Linked DNA regions of Mus musculus. The protein of the gene in region 1 interacts with the protein of each later gene in a biochemical or structural test. Links are inferred from orthologs where the notes say so. Each region holds a gene or a part of one and is shown in the gene's direction. Other genes may lie near its edges.

Region 1 (4,191 bases):
TGTGGTTGAGCCTTTGCCTTGCGAGTTTGAGGTCCTAAGTTCAAACCCTAGGACTGCAGAAGTGTGAAGGGAATCAAATGAATAAGGAAAAGAAATAGGGTGGAAGATGTACACTGCCCAAGGATGCCTGCCCAAGGATGCTCCTCACACTGTTTAAGGGACTGAGAGTCTGGGTTGGTTTTGTTGTTCTTGTTGTTGAAACAGGTCTCACTATATAGCGCTAGATATCCTGGAACTCACTGTATAGACCAAGTTGGCCTCAAACTCACAGAGAGCTGCCTGCCTATGCCTCCCAAGTGTTGGGATTAAAGGCATGGGTTACCATGCCCAGCTAGGACTGGGGTTCTAATTTCAGTATTATAAAACAAACAAACAAACAAACAAACAAACAAACCAAAACTAACCAATCAAAACACCTCAGACAATAAACCCTTAAAAGATATAAGGTGCTCTGTCCCATCTCCCTTCTCCAGCAGCCTGTGTCCCTTGCTAAGGAAGATACCAATATAAATTGGGCAGCTTGTTTCCCCTCTGGTCTTGGCTTGGTAGTATTTGCATCTTTTTTTGTATTCATCCTGGGGTTTACATACACAAGGTCCCATAAGCCTGAAGGCTGAGCGCTCCTAAAGTTTAAAGCCCTCCCTGTGAGCGTCTGCCCTTGTTGGGACCCTGGCCATAAACCCTAACCTTTAGGAGATACCTTCCCACCCCACCCCTCCCTGCTGACAGTCAGGGTATAGGAAGGAGGCCTAGGCCCATGATGACAGAGCTGCACAAGGTTGCTTTGTGGGGGCTCTCAGCTGTGATGATAGCATCTCCTTTGGACAAGGAGTCTATTGACTACTGTTCTTTGGGTCCTGAGGGCTGGCAAGCAGAATTCAAAAGTCATTGGCTTTGAAACTATTTAGGTCTGAATCCTGCAACTCACTAAGGGTAAGACCTGGGGGCAATTCCTCAAACTTCTTGGCCTCAGTTTCCTTGTCTGTGAAGTGGGGATAAAGATAGTGCCTGAGGAATGAGGCCCTGGTGACCTGTAACTCACAGGAGGCATGAAAATGACATTGTAGCAATGAGTCTGGCAGGCTGCGACACTCCATTAAATGACGGTGCCACTGCACACGATCATTATTAGACTGTGCCTAAGAATAATTCTGAGTAGAGGCAGCTGCTGGAGGAGGAAGGGTTGACCTGATAATGTGGATATTCACTGTGCGTGACTCTTGACCTGCCACACGTGTGCCTTACCTCTTGAGTCATGAATATTTACTGCCTTGCCCCTGTGCCTTTGTTGGCAGACTGTGGGAAGTGGGCCCTCCCCCACCCTGCCACCCTCCAGCTCCTCTTCCCTCGCTCTGAAAAGAGAAGTTCTAGTGAGTTCCCCTAAGGGGTCGGCCGCGCCCCTTCCTGTCTCCGCCCTGCTGGCTGCCCCAGGCCAGTAGAGTGGTAGCCCGGGGAGCAGGACTGCAGGTTGGCTTTGGAGGCCTGGGCTCTGAGAGCCTTGCCTGAGGCTCATCTCTAGAGTTTGTACGTGCCTGCCCAGACAAACTGTTCCCTCCACATTTTCTGCAGCCAATTCAGTGAGAACCCCAGGATGGTGAGGTAAGGGCCTGGGACCCATGGAGGATAGGAAACAAGGGTGGCTGGAGCCCTGGGGATATTCCCTCACTGCCCTGTGCACTTTTAGGTGGTTTCACCGGGACCTCAGCGGGCCTGATGCAGAGACCCTGCTGAAGGGCCGGGGAGTCCCTGGGAGCTTCCTGGCTCGGCCCAGCCGCAAGAACCAGGGTGACTTCTCCCTCTCAGTCAGGTGGGTGGCCCTCCCTGCACCTTGGCAGCTCATTGTGTGGGTCCGGAGCATTCCTGGGTTCCCTGGGTTGTGTTGTCTCCTCATGATACATTTCTTCCCTTCTGTCCCTGCCTGTCGCCCTAGCATGTGCCCATAACTGTCTATGTCTACTCCATGCCTATGTGCTTTTGCATCGAGACCCCTGTCCCCCCAAGCCCACCCCGCTGCTGCTCATGTATCTCACTACCTGGTGGTGCCTCGCAGGGTGGATGATCAGGTGACTCATATTCGGATCCAGAACTCAGGGGACTTCTATGACCTGTACGGAGGGGAGAAGTTTGCGACGCTGACAGAGCTGGTCGAGTATTACACGCAGCAGCAGGGCATCCTGCAGGACCGAGATGGCACCATCATCCACCTTAAGTACCCACTGAACTGCTCGGACCCCACCAGTGAGAGGTGAGGGGCATTGCAGGTTGGCCCTGTCCCTTGAGATAAGTGGACATCCAGACCAGGTGTCCTTCTGTTCCCAGTCCGTTCTTCATCCCTGATCTTCCACACCTGTTCTCTCAGTGTTCTCAGCCTCTTCCCTCTGTAGGCTGATGATTCCCATGTATCTAACCAATCCCCTGTCCCCTGAGGAAGCCAGAGAAGGGTTCCCCTTGCCTTCCTGCAGGGTTCCTGCTGCCTAGCAACCTCATCCTGAGAGTAACAGAGAGGCCACTCCTTGTCTCTGGTGTTTCTCATCAGGTCGGCCCTATTACTAGAAAGCTTGTCCTACCATGGAACTCTGGTGCCTTCTTCCAGCCCTCTACACAGCCTGGGGCTCTAGGTCCCTGTCTTAATAAGGTCTTAGAGGTCCACTGGTACTGGGGTACTCAGGGACTTCTCTCAGCATCACACTGAGGTGGGGCTGGACAGAGCTTGGTGAAAGCAAGGTCGCTGAGGTGGTCACAGGTAGAGAAGGGCCCAGGCTTATCTGACTTAAGGAGACCCTCAGGATATCCCCAACTAGTGCTGCAAAGACACGGCCCCCATAGCTGGGCTGGCTGTTCTCTTGTGGTCTTCTCAGAGCATGTGCAAAGGGAAGGTTATGGAGATAAATGTCCCTCATTCATTACACTGGGGCTCGTCTTAGCTGTATAGCACAGGGACTGACTGGCAACCCCTATTAACTCAGGGTTTTCTTATGGACTCTGGGGCTCTGCGTACCTGTTCCTGTCCTGTGTCTGTGTATTTACAGTTGAAATGATTCCGAACTTGATCCCCACACCCTTCTCTGCTGGGGCCTGAACCCGGGGCCTTGTCTGAGTTGAGTGAGCGCTTTGCCACTAGCTACCTTCCACGCAGTTTTAAAGTCTGTTTTGAGATTCGTGCCTACAAACTTAGCTCAATAGTTTTGTTCACAAGTTACTGACTAAAACTGAGGACTGAAGGTCTAGGGACTGTGGCTCAGGTGGTGAGTGCTTGCCTGCCATGCATTAAACACTGGGTTCTATTCCCTGTCGTGCATAAACCTAGTGTGAGTGACACGTGCCTGTGAGCCCAGGTGGAGGCAGGAAGACCAGAAGAAGGTCAAGTTTATCCTCCATTCCATAGCAAGTTTGAGGCCGGATAGGGCTCCATGAGACCTTGACTTAAACTAAAACAAGCGGAGTGGAGGTGGTACCATAGGCCTTTTATCCCAGCACTCAAAAGAGGCAGGGGAAGGTGGATGTCTGGAAGTTCAAGGCCAGCCTGGTCTATCAAGTAAGTTCCAGTACAGCCAGGGCTCCACAGAGAAACCTTGTCTTGAAAAACCAAAACCCCCAAACAAAACAACAAAAAAACTCCAACCCAAACAAACAAACAAACAACCAACCAAAAAAAACCCTCAAAACACAAAGAAAACCACAAACAAACAAACAAAGAAGCTGGAGGACACTCCCTAGAAGGCTTTCCTCTTCTGCTGGTGAGTGGGAAGGGAGGGCCTGCCCCAGGTTGTCTCTCCTCTCCTATCCTACCTGCAGCCCTCAGGATGGTTTGGCCTCTCTCTCAGATTCGCTTTGAGCCCCTTGTTTTCTCTTTGTTGCTGACTCAAGCCAGGATGCGCCCTGCTAGAGTAGACCATGGAGGTACAGCTGAATGGTGGCTGCAGTGTTCCCTGTGATCAGGAAGGAGGTGGGAGCTAAACAGGTGTTAGGAGAACAGGCCAGGGCAGTGGGGAAGCACAGGACACCCTGTGGATGATACCCTCTGACAGGGCTGCGGAGGACTCCAAGGGACACTTTGGATGGCCATTTGGGAAGAAGCTGTCTCATCCCTAACCTTAGTGTGTGTGGAAGCCATGACCCAATGGCTCCTCTCTTTGCCCCTCCTCTTCTGGGAAATTTGCATTTGTCCCCTCAATAGTGAACTCTCTGCCT
Region 2 (4,180 bases), on another chromosome or scaffold:
TAGTCTACAAAATGAGTTTCAGGACAGTGAGGTCTGCACAGAGATATCCTGTCTTGAAGAAACAAGAAAAAATATTCAAGTTTAGACCAGGCATGGTGGTGCATACCTCTAATCCCAACATTTGAGAGAAAGAGGCAGGTGGATCTCTCTGAGTTTGAGGTCAGCTTGGTCTACACGGTGAGTTCTAGATCAGTCAGGACTACATAGTAAGGCCCTGTCTCAAAGAAATGAAGAAGAAGAAGAAGGAGAAGAAGAAGAAGAAGAAGAAGAAGGAGGAGGAGGAGGAGGAGGAGGAGGAGGAGGAGGAGGAGGAGGAGGAGGAGGAGGAGAAAGAGGAGGAGGAGAAGAAGAAGAAAAACAAAGAAGAAGAAGAAGAAAAACAAAGAAGAAGAAGAAGAAGAAAAACAAAGAAGAAGAAGAAGAAGAAAAAGAAAAAGGAGGAGGAGGAGGACAACTACAACCACAACAACAATAACAAGAAGGGTCATGGTAGTGGTGGTGGTGGTGGGGTGGTGCTGATGGTGGAGGAGAGATGGCTCAGAGTTAAAGAGATGGCTCTTCCAGAGGCCCTCAGTTCAATTTCCAGCAATATGGTAGCTCATAACCATCTGCTAATAAGACCTGGTGCCCTCTTCTGGCACACAGGTGTGCATGTAGGCATAGCACTACATAATAAATAAATCTTAAAAACAATATGGAAGAGGCAGAAGGAGCAGAGTTCAAAGTTATCCTCAACTACAGAGAGACTTGAAGTCTAACCTGGGCATAGAAAATTCTGTCTGTGGCGTGGGGGATGGTGGAGAGAAACTGGAGTCAGTCTATCCAGAGTGACTGAATCCTGCAGCTTGCTGATTTTAAATTCTTTGTTGTAGCTTCAGGTGAACTTTGGCTGAGTGATAGACCCATGGAGATTTTGTATCATATTTTCTTCCCAAGGTGCTACACTTGTAAGTATCTTAGTTCTCTATGGTGCTTGGTTTCTGTCTCAATAGACCTGATAAGGCAGTATTTTAGTTAATATGTAGTCAAATTCTGAGAGTTCTTTAACAAACTTCCTTGTCTTGAACTTGCCCTTAGAGAACATGTCTAGTTTTCAGCTTCTTTTGCTCTTTGAAAAAAAAAAGTGTTTGGTTTCAAAGCATTCCTATTTTCTTCTCTAGCTCATTGCATACTACTAAAGCTTCTAATTTTTAAAACAGTTATGAGATACGGTTTGCTAAGCATGCATAGTCAAAACCCAATTTCCTGCATAGCTCAGTCAACCTCAAAGAAGTGCGGTGGCTGACCGACCTAAGTGTCCTGTGTCAGGATTGTGTGGCCTGGCTCGCTGGAAAGCAATCTAAGTTTCTCCTGTTTATTTAGCATGTGTAGAGCTCTTCCTGGATCTAACTTTTAGCCAGGGAATGTCTTTTGTTATGGGAGCAAAAGGAAGCTAAACTATAAAATAGCCTTGCTGCGATGTTCTGGGCTATCTAAGATCCAAAGGTCTAAACTAATCCAAAGGCCTCAATATTCTTTTTAAAGAGAGAATGATATTCTAACATTGCGAAAGAAAACAGAAAACCTACTTGTCACACTTGCAACTGAAGTATGAAGCCTAAAGAGTTCTTAAAGCAAGGTGGAGCTATGAGGACCCCAGCTGTGTAGGAAGCCAGCCCTCCTGAGGATGAAGAACATCTGCTGGCTCACCCTGAAACTTGTGAAGTTTGTGGTCCTTGGGTGCATCATATGGATTTCTGTGGCACAGAGTACAGTTCTGAGCAGCTGCCTAACGTCCTGTGTAACTAACCTGGTAAGTTTCACCGACTTTTGTCTTTGCAGAGATTAGGATATGAATCCCACTTGCAACTGACAGGTTCGTTTTCTTTTCATGACAAGGTCGCAAAGAAAACTGCTTATTGTCTCTCCCTTCCCCCCAAACCCCCCAAAGAAGGAGAATATATAGCTTCAAAATGTAAGGAAGGATATTTTATTTAATTATTATCAAATTCTAGATTTTTCAGCGGGGGGGTATGGGAGGCCTTAAATGGAATCAGATTTTACAAACTACTCAGTAATTTATTATAAAATAATTAATATTTGTTTAAAATATAAACTAGAATTTTGGTACACTTTGTTGGTACTATGGATGGATCGCTGACTAGGAAGCAGATGCAGAGGCCAGGTACAACATTTTGTGTCAAAAGACAGGATTATTTATGTCTCTTTATTTCTTCCTAAGAATTCCTCAGGTTGACTAATCAGTTTTGACATGAACATTTTTCTTTCTTATTGTGGTCCTTTTTGTCTGTATTGTATGATATTGCCTCACTTGTATGATAGTGACTTGGGTGTGCTTACTTGTATATTTTATGTTCCTAAATTAAGTTGAAAAACCAAAGGCTGTACCAGGAAGACATGCCTTGTTCCTATCTAAGGGTTAAATAACATGATAGATTAGGTATGCCATTTTGTACCCTTATTATAAAGTAACAAAGTGTCTAACACCGTACTCATCCTTAAGCTAACATATTGGAGGTAGAGGTCTCTGGCAGATTAGAAAAAGGTGTTACACACATCCGTTTTAAGTAAAGCAGTAGATTGTTGCTTGGGCAAACTGTAGATGGTAGCAATTTAGAAAGAGTTTACAAAGGTCTTAGCCAAGATCTCACTGCTTTGGATGCAGACAGGTTTGCTTTGCGTTTTTGTAGTTATGTTACAAACTTGCAAATAGAAGCAAGTATTGTGAGAGAAGCTGAGGCAGGGGGGCAGGAATGTCATGCCAGCCTAGCCTATAGGAGCTGTATGAGAATAGGCTCTTCTACCCTAAAAAAGACCTCTTCATTCACTTCCGGAGAAGTCAATGGATACACACACACACACACACACACACTCCTTCCCCCACCATATGGTTTATATGATTAAACAGGAAAAAATGAAGGAAGACTGGTGGTCCCTCTGTTAACCCTTGATATTTTTCTCAAACATATCTTGGTATGTATGTTGTGTGTATATATAATTTTATTTTGAGACAGAGGTTCACTTTGTAGTCAAAGTTGGCCCCCAAATCCTGGCAATCCTCATCCTCCAGTCTGCCTCAGATTAGAATTACAATAGCAAGCTACTATGGCTGGCTTAAACATATTTATAATTTTACATAAAACCATTTCATTTTACCTTATATTATAGATTTCCCTTTATATCCTGAAGGTCTTTGGAAATAAGCTCTTTAACATATTTAGAGAGCTCTGTTAAGAGCCTGTACCACTGCAGGATATCCATTTCCTTACTCTTGAAACTGATTTTGATTATTTTTCAAAACTGCAGTCTTCATTTTGCTTTGAGTTCTCCTTATTGTTCTCTGTGTGTGGGCTCCATGCCCTCAGGGTTTGGTAGCCCAGACAGTTCCTTTGTTGAGCTGCCTTCCGTTCACCACCTACAGCAGAGGGCACAGGCCCTGAGGTGGCCATTGCAAGAGACACAGTCTGCTGGTTTGACCAGTAAATGTAATAAAGTGTTCTAAACTGAGCCTCCCACTCAGGTTTGGGAGGGGCAGCAGTAGGTGGATGGACAAATGAACGTAGCCACGAAGCATGAGACACTTAGTATTCTCTGCCGTCCTTTTTAATGTGGACATTTGCTGTGAAGAGCATCTTTGATGTCAGGATTTTGATAGGTGGCTGATATGAAGGCAGTTTCTGTTTTTTATTTAAACACGAAACACATTCTTGAATAAAAGAATGTTAGGATTAAGTCAAGCATGGTGATTCTTGCAGTCAGGAAGCAGATGCAGAATCAGGACAGGTTTGAAGTCAGTCTGGGCTACAGAGTGAGCTCCAGGATAGACTTGTCTACAGAGTAAGACAGACAGTGACCACAACAAGCCAACCGCAGAAAATAATGCTAGAATTGCTGGGGAAAGCACAAGCCTGAGTTCTGTGTTTGAGTAGAGGGAATTTTGTGTTCACTGAGAGACTCTATGTGTGAGCTCAATATATTAATGGCCTTATACTTGAATTCTAGACGCCGTGTGCTCCAGGGAAACAAATAGTGAATCTTCTTAAGACTATTAATATTATGAGATGGCTTATAAAATAGAATCAATCAACCAATCAATCAGTCAGTCAGTCACTCAAACAACCCTCCCCCAAAATTCATAGTCAAATTAAGTTGTAGAAGTGCATTTTGCTGGAGATCCTCA
Region 3 (4,198 bases), on another chromosome or scaffold:
AACTTAACACCTTAGCAACTAGAGCTCAGGGCGAAGAAGGAAGTGGTATGATTCCAAGGTAGAGGGGGAAGCAAGGGGGTGAGCAAGAACTGGGTAAGGGAGGCCTGGGGTCTGCCTTTTCCCAGAGAATGTTACAACCTTTCAAACATCAAAGGGAGAGAAACCAATTTATAGTCTAGAAAATTCCGTAGGAGGCAAGGCTAAACACACATCTGCAATCTCGGGTGTTTGTCTGTGATGGGAGGGTTGTGTTCAAAGGCATCTTGCCATTTAGCCATCCCCTGGGTCAGAATAAAGAAGGAAGGGATGAAGGGAGGGAAAAGGGAATGTTAGCCCGATGGTAGGGGAGGAGGGTGTCGGGAGGAGGGAGAAGGGGTGAGCTGGGGACTGGAGAGATGACTTGGCAATTAAGAGCAATCATGAGGACTGGATTTCAGGTCCCATCACCTCTGGAGAACGTGACAATCGCCTCTTCTGGCTTCCAAGCACACACAGGCACACAGACACTCCTCCCTCAAAATGTATTCATTCTCTCATGAACATGCATGAAAGGGGGACAGGACGGTTCACTGGAGAAAGGTGCCAGCTGTCGAGTCTGATGATCTAAGTTTGATCCTGGGACTCACATAATGGAAGGAGAGAATTTCTACACGTTGACCTCTGACACACCCCCCCCAATACATAGTGGTACACATGCATTCTACCCTACTTCCACATACACAAATAAATAAATGTTTAATAAGAAAGGTTGGGAATTGGCAGTGGGGAAAGTAGTGTGTACTACACACACATATATACCCACAGTCACAGACACACACATACACCCACAGTTCCACACAAACACATATACACCCAGTCACACACACACACAAACACACATACATACATACATACACAGTCACACACACACAAACACACACACAAACACACATACACAAACAGCCAAAGGGGCTCCTTTGGTGACTAAGCCGGTGATCAGGGACCACTGCAGCGGCTTAAGAAAATCCCTCTTTCTACTGAGCCACCAGTAGCGTTCCTCACAAGGACTGCATATTGTCGGAGAAGCTGGCCAGTGCAGGATAGGAGGCCCAGATTTACACTCTATGGATACAGCCCCCATAGGGAGCCCACAGGAAAGGCAAACAGGTCTTGCTAGGTATCCCACAAAAGCACTTTTGAGTGGAAATAAAACCTCCTTGTCCTGTCAGGAGAAGAAGTCCCCAAACCCAGATGAGGCTAGAAGCGCAAGAACTTTGAGGCAAATGCTACTTGTGGGTTTTTTTGGTTGTTGTTGTTGTTTTCTCCTCTTCTAGACAAAGCCATTGGGTTCAGTGGTCCCTCCGGAAGGCCAGTCATTTCCTGAGGAGATATCAGGCCAGCCCAGACCTCATTGTTCTTGGTTTCCAGCTATGGCCGCCATTACCTGACAAGTACCAGAGCTGGTCTCTGCGCGCCTGGAGAGGTTGTCAGAGTTGTTTCTGCTTTTCACACAGCAGGCTTCTGGTCTGTGGCAGGCAAGAGAATTCTGCCCCTGAGGCATGGCCGGAAGACAGAACTAGCTGAGTGCTTCAGTCTGCAGAAGTCTTTCAGGATTCAGCTGAGGTGGGCCTCAGTCGGCAGACAAGATGCTCCTGGCTCTGGGACTCACGCTGGTGCTCTGTGAGTTTCTAACCTGCTTCCTTCTTCCCTTCTTATGAGACTTGAATTCGTGAAATCAACAGATTGGCTTTCTTTTTCTTTCTCTTCCAGATGCAAGCCTCCAGGCTGAGGAAAACTGTAAGTCCTGGTATTTTCACATGGCTTCCTTCTTTGTGTCTTTTCTGAAATTAACTCATGTCAGACTGCTTAGGGTTGGTGTTTACAACAACTAAGAAAACTCTCAAAGCCTTGTTCTAAATCAAGGTTCAAAGAGTGTGTATTAGAGACAGCGGTGTAGGAGAAAATTGCTGAACACCAGTCTTACATCTTGGTGGGTTTCTGTTTGTTGGAATGGGAGAGATGGGTTTTTTTAAAAAAATTCCTTATATGTATATATGTATATATATGATTCCTTATATGTTTGTGGTCTTTCTGTCATAAGCTATTTCTTTTTACATCATACTATGCCTCTAATTGTTTACTTTCAAACTCTTCTCTTTATTCGCTTGGATTTAGAGTCTGTAATCCCAGTACTTGGAAAACAGACACAGAAAGATCAGTAGTGAAGTCCAGCTTCGGCTCCATAGGAGTTTGAGGGAGGCCTGAGCTACTACGTGAAACAGTACAAAACCGACTCCCAAAAAATAAAAACTTAAAAAAGTATTTTTTTTTCCTTTCACTTGTTTTAATTTACAAATGAGACTCAGTTGACTTGACAGACTATGGAGGCTGAAGGAGCAGACAGTAAATGGGTGTCAGGACTCCCTCTGTCCTAAGAGAGTAACAAAAAGGACCAGCCAGATCCCCTTTCCCTCCCACCGGGGAGGCTCCGCTCCTATCTGAGCTTGCTTGTGGGGAAGGGTTCTGCCTGTCTTTAAAGTCAGACCTATCATCCACTCGAGAGCTGATTCGGAACCTCCGAATTTTTCAGATTAAGAGGATCTGTCTCGCTCCGTCCATCAGAGACTCTGAAGGAAGAGGCTCAGCCCAGCCCAGGGATTGTGGGTCAGGAAGAAGGCCACAGATTACACTGGCTCAGTCAAAAGTTATTCCAGTGTGGGAAGACTAGGGATGCTGGGCTGCAGGCATTTTTGAGCTGAAGAACGTGACAGGGCTGAGTTGAGCCAGGGATGGAGCTGTGGCCCCAGGGTGGGGAGGGCTGTGGTCTGTGAGTCTGTGATTCCTTAGGCTTCTGGCTCCCTTGGCAACACCTGGAGACAGACTGTGTATTGTCTTCAAGTCATCCCCACTAAAGGGTGGGATGGGTGAGCCTCAGAAAGACATGACTCAGCCTAGAATGTCAGGGCTTGTCAGCACTACGGCCTCCGCTCCCTGGAACCCAGACATCTCTCTGGGGCTTGTGCTTGGCTTTACTTAGCTTGCTCTGGTTGGGGACTGGGGTCTCACACTGCTAAGGTAGTCTTGAACCCACTGTGTAGCCCGGGCTGCCTAGGGACTAACTCTAACTCCTCTTGCCTTAGCCTCCCCAATACTCCCCAGCCTGGTGTCACTCAGCCGGCTTGGCTTTGCTTCTTGGGACCTTTTTCCCCTGACTATAAAATGGAAACCACCCACAGACCTGGTGGCTCGAGCAGGGTAAAGTTGAGATTGGAGTAAGGGAGGAGGAGTCATTTGTGCTGTCTATAGGATTAGTAAATGATCCCGGGCAATCACCCCAGCCCTCCTTTATAGTTTAAATTTGTGCCCTATTTGCTCTGTACCCTTCCGTGCCCCCTATCCCCACTCCATCTCTCTCTTGCCCTCAGGGTGTCATATACCTGAAACCCACTGTGTAGCTCAGATGACAATGACTTTCAGGTCCTCCTACTTTCCTCTCCCAAGGGCTGAGATTATAGGCACACACCACACCAGGTTTATGCAGCACTGGCAGTCAAACCCAGGGCTTTAAGCATGTGAGGCAAGCACTCTACTGACTGAACTACATCCCAGCACTCTCTGTCTCCTGTCTGGGTTCTGCCCTGCCAGCCCTAGAGGGTTCTTGCATCTCAAGATCCCCATAGCTTGTCTCCCATCTCTGTGTCTGTCTCTGTCTCTGTCTCTGTCTCTCTCTCTGCTTCACAAGACATCTGCTGTAAGAAACATGGCCCAGAGAAGCAGGCAATAGACTGAAGTTGCTTTGTTGGAACTGGAAGGAGCCTCAACCTTCCCCAGGGATGAAGGATGAGGGGCTGGGGATGTGTGTGTGTATGTGCACACGTAGTGCATATGTAGGGGTGCGTGTGTGTGTGTGCATGTGTGTATATGCATCACTACCAGGAAGTTACAGCTATTTTTTTGTAGTTGGACTGGAAGCAGGGTGGGTTCTTTTTGATACTTGGGCACCTTGTTTCTGCAGGTGGAGCTGACCAGTCAGGCTGGGGCGGAGCCATTCTTTATGGCTAGGACTATTGCCCAGTGCAGCCTGACTTAATTCCTCATGGCCTGAGGCTATTATATAATATATTCCCAAATATGAAAGGGTAAAAAGAAGAAGGGGGTGGAGCTGGGCATGGTGGCACAGGCCTTTAATCCTAGCACTTGGGAGGCAGAGGCAGGTAGA

What was found.
Region 2: of the proteins of Ptpn6 (region 1) and Ros1, one has a biochemical effect on the other in vitro, tested with the Homo sapiens proteins (2 studies listed by BioGRID and IntAct). The link is inferred for Mus musculus from reciprocal best matches to the Homo sapiens genes PTPN6 and ROS1.
Region 3: the proteins of Ptpn6 (region 1) and Pecam1 form a complex in vitro, tested with the Homo sapiens proteins (2 studies listed by BioGRID, with this or other methods). The link is inferred for Mus musculus from reciprocal best matches to the Homo sapiens genes PTPN6 and PECAM1.

The regions. Positions count from the first base shown.
Region 1 is NC_000072.6:124,730,354-124,734,544, reverse strand, and holds the start of Ptpn6 (tyrosine-protein phosphatase non-receptor type 6), read left to right. Parts: upstream 1-1,390; 5' UTR 1,391-1,591; coding exon 1,592-1,599; intron 1,600-1,684; coding exon 1,685-1,807; intron 1,808-2,050; coding exon 2,051-2,245; intron 2,246-4,191. UniProt on the Homo sapiens protein: Tyrosine phosphatase enzyme that plays important roles in controlling immune signaling pathways and fundamental physiological processes such as hematopoiesis.
Region 2 is NC_000076.6:52,192,443-52,196,622, reverse strand, and holds the start of Ros1 (proto-oncogene tyrosine-protein kinase ROS precursor), read left to right. Parts: upstream 1-1,378; 5' UTR 1,379-1,666; coding exon 1,667-1,792; intron 1,793-4,180. UniProt on the Homo sapiens protein: Receptor tyrosine kinase (RTK) that plays a role in epithelial cell differentiation and regionalization of the proximal epididymal epithelium. NELL2 is an endogenous ligand for ROS1.
Region 3 is NC_000077.6:106,712,480-106,716,677, reverse strand, and holds the start of Pecam1 (platelet endothelial cell adhesion molecule isoform 3 precursor), read left to right. Parts: upstream 1-1,396; 5' UTR 1,397-1,625; coding exon 1,626-1,659; intron 1,660-1,749; coding exon 1,750-1,776; intron 1,777-4,198. UniProt on the Homo sapiens protein: Cell adhesion molecule which is required for leukocyte transendothelial migration (TEM) under most inflammatory conditions.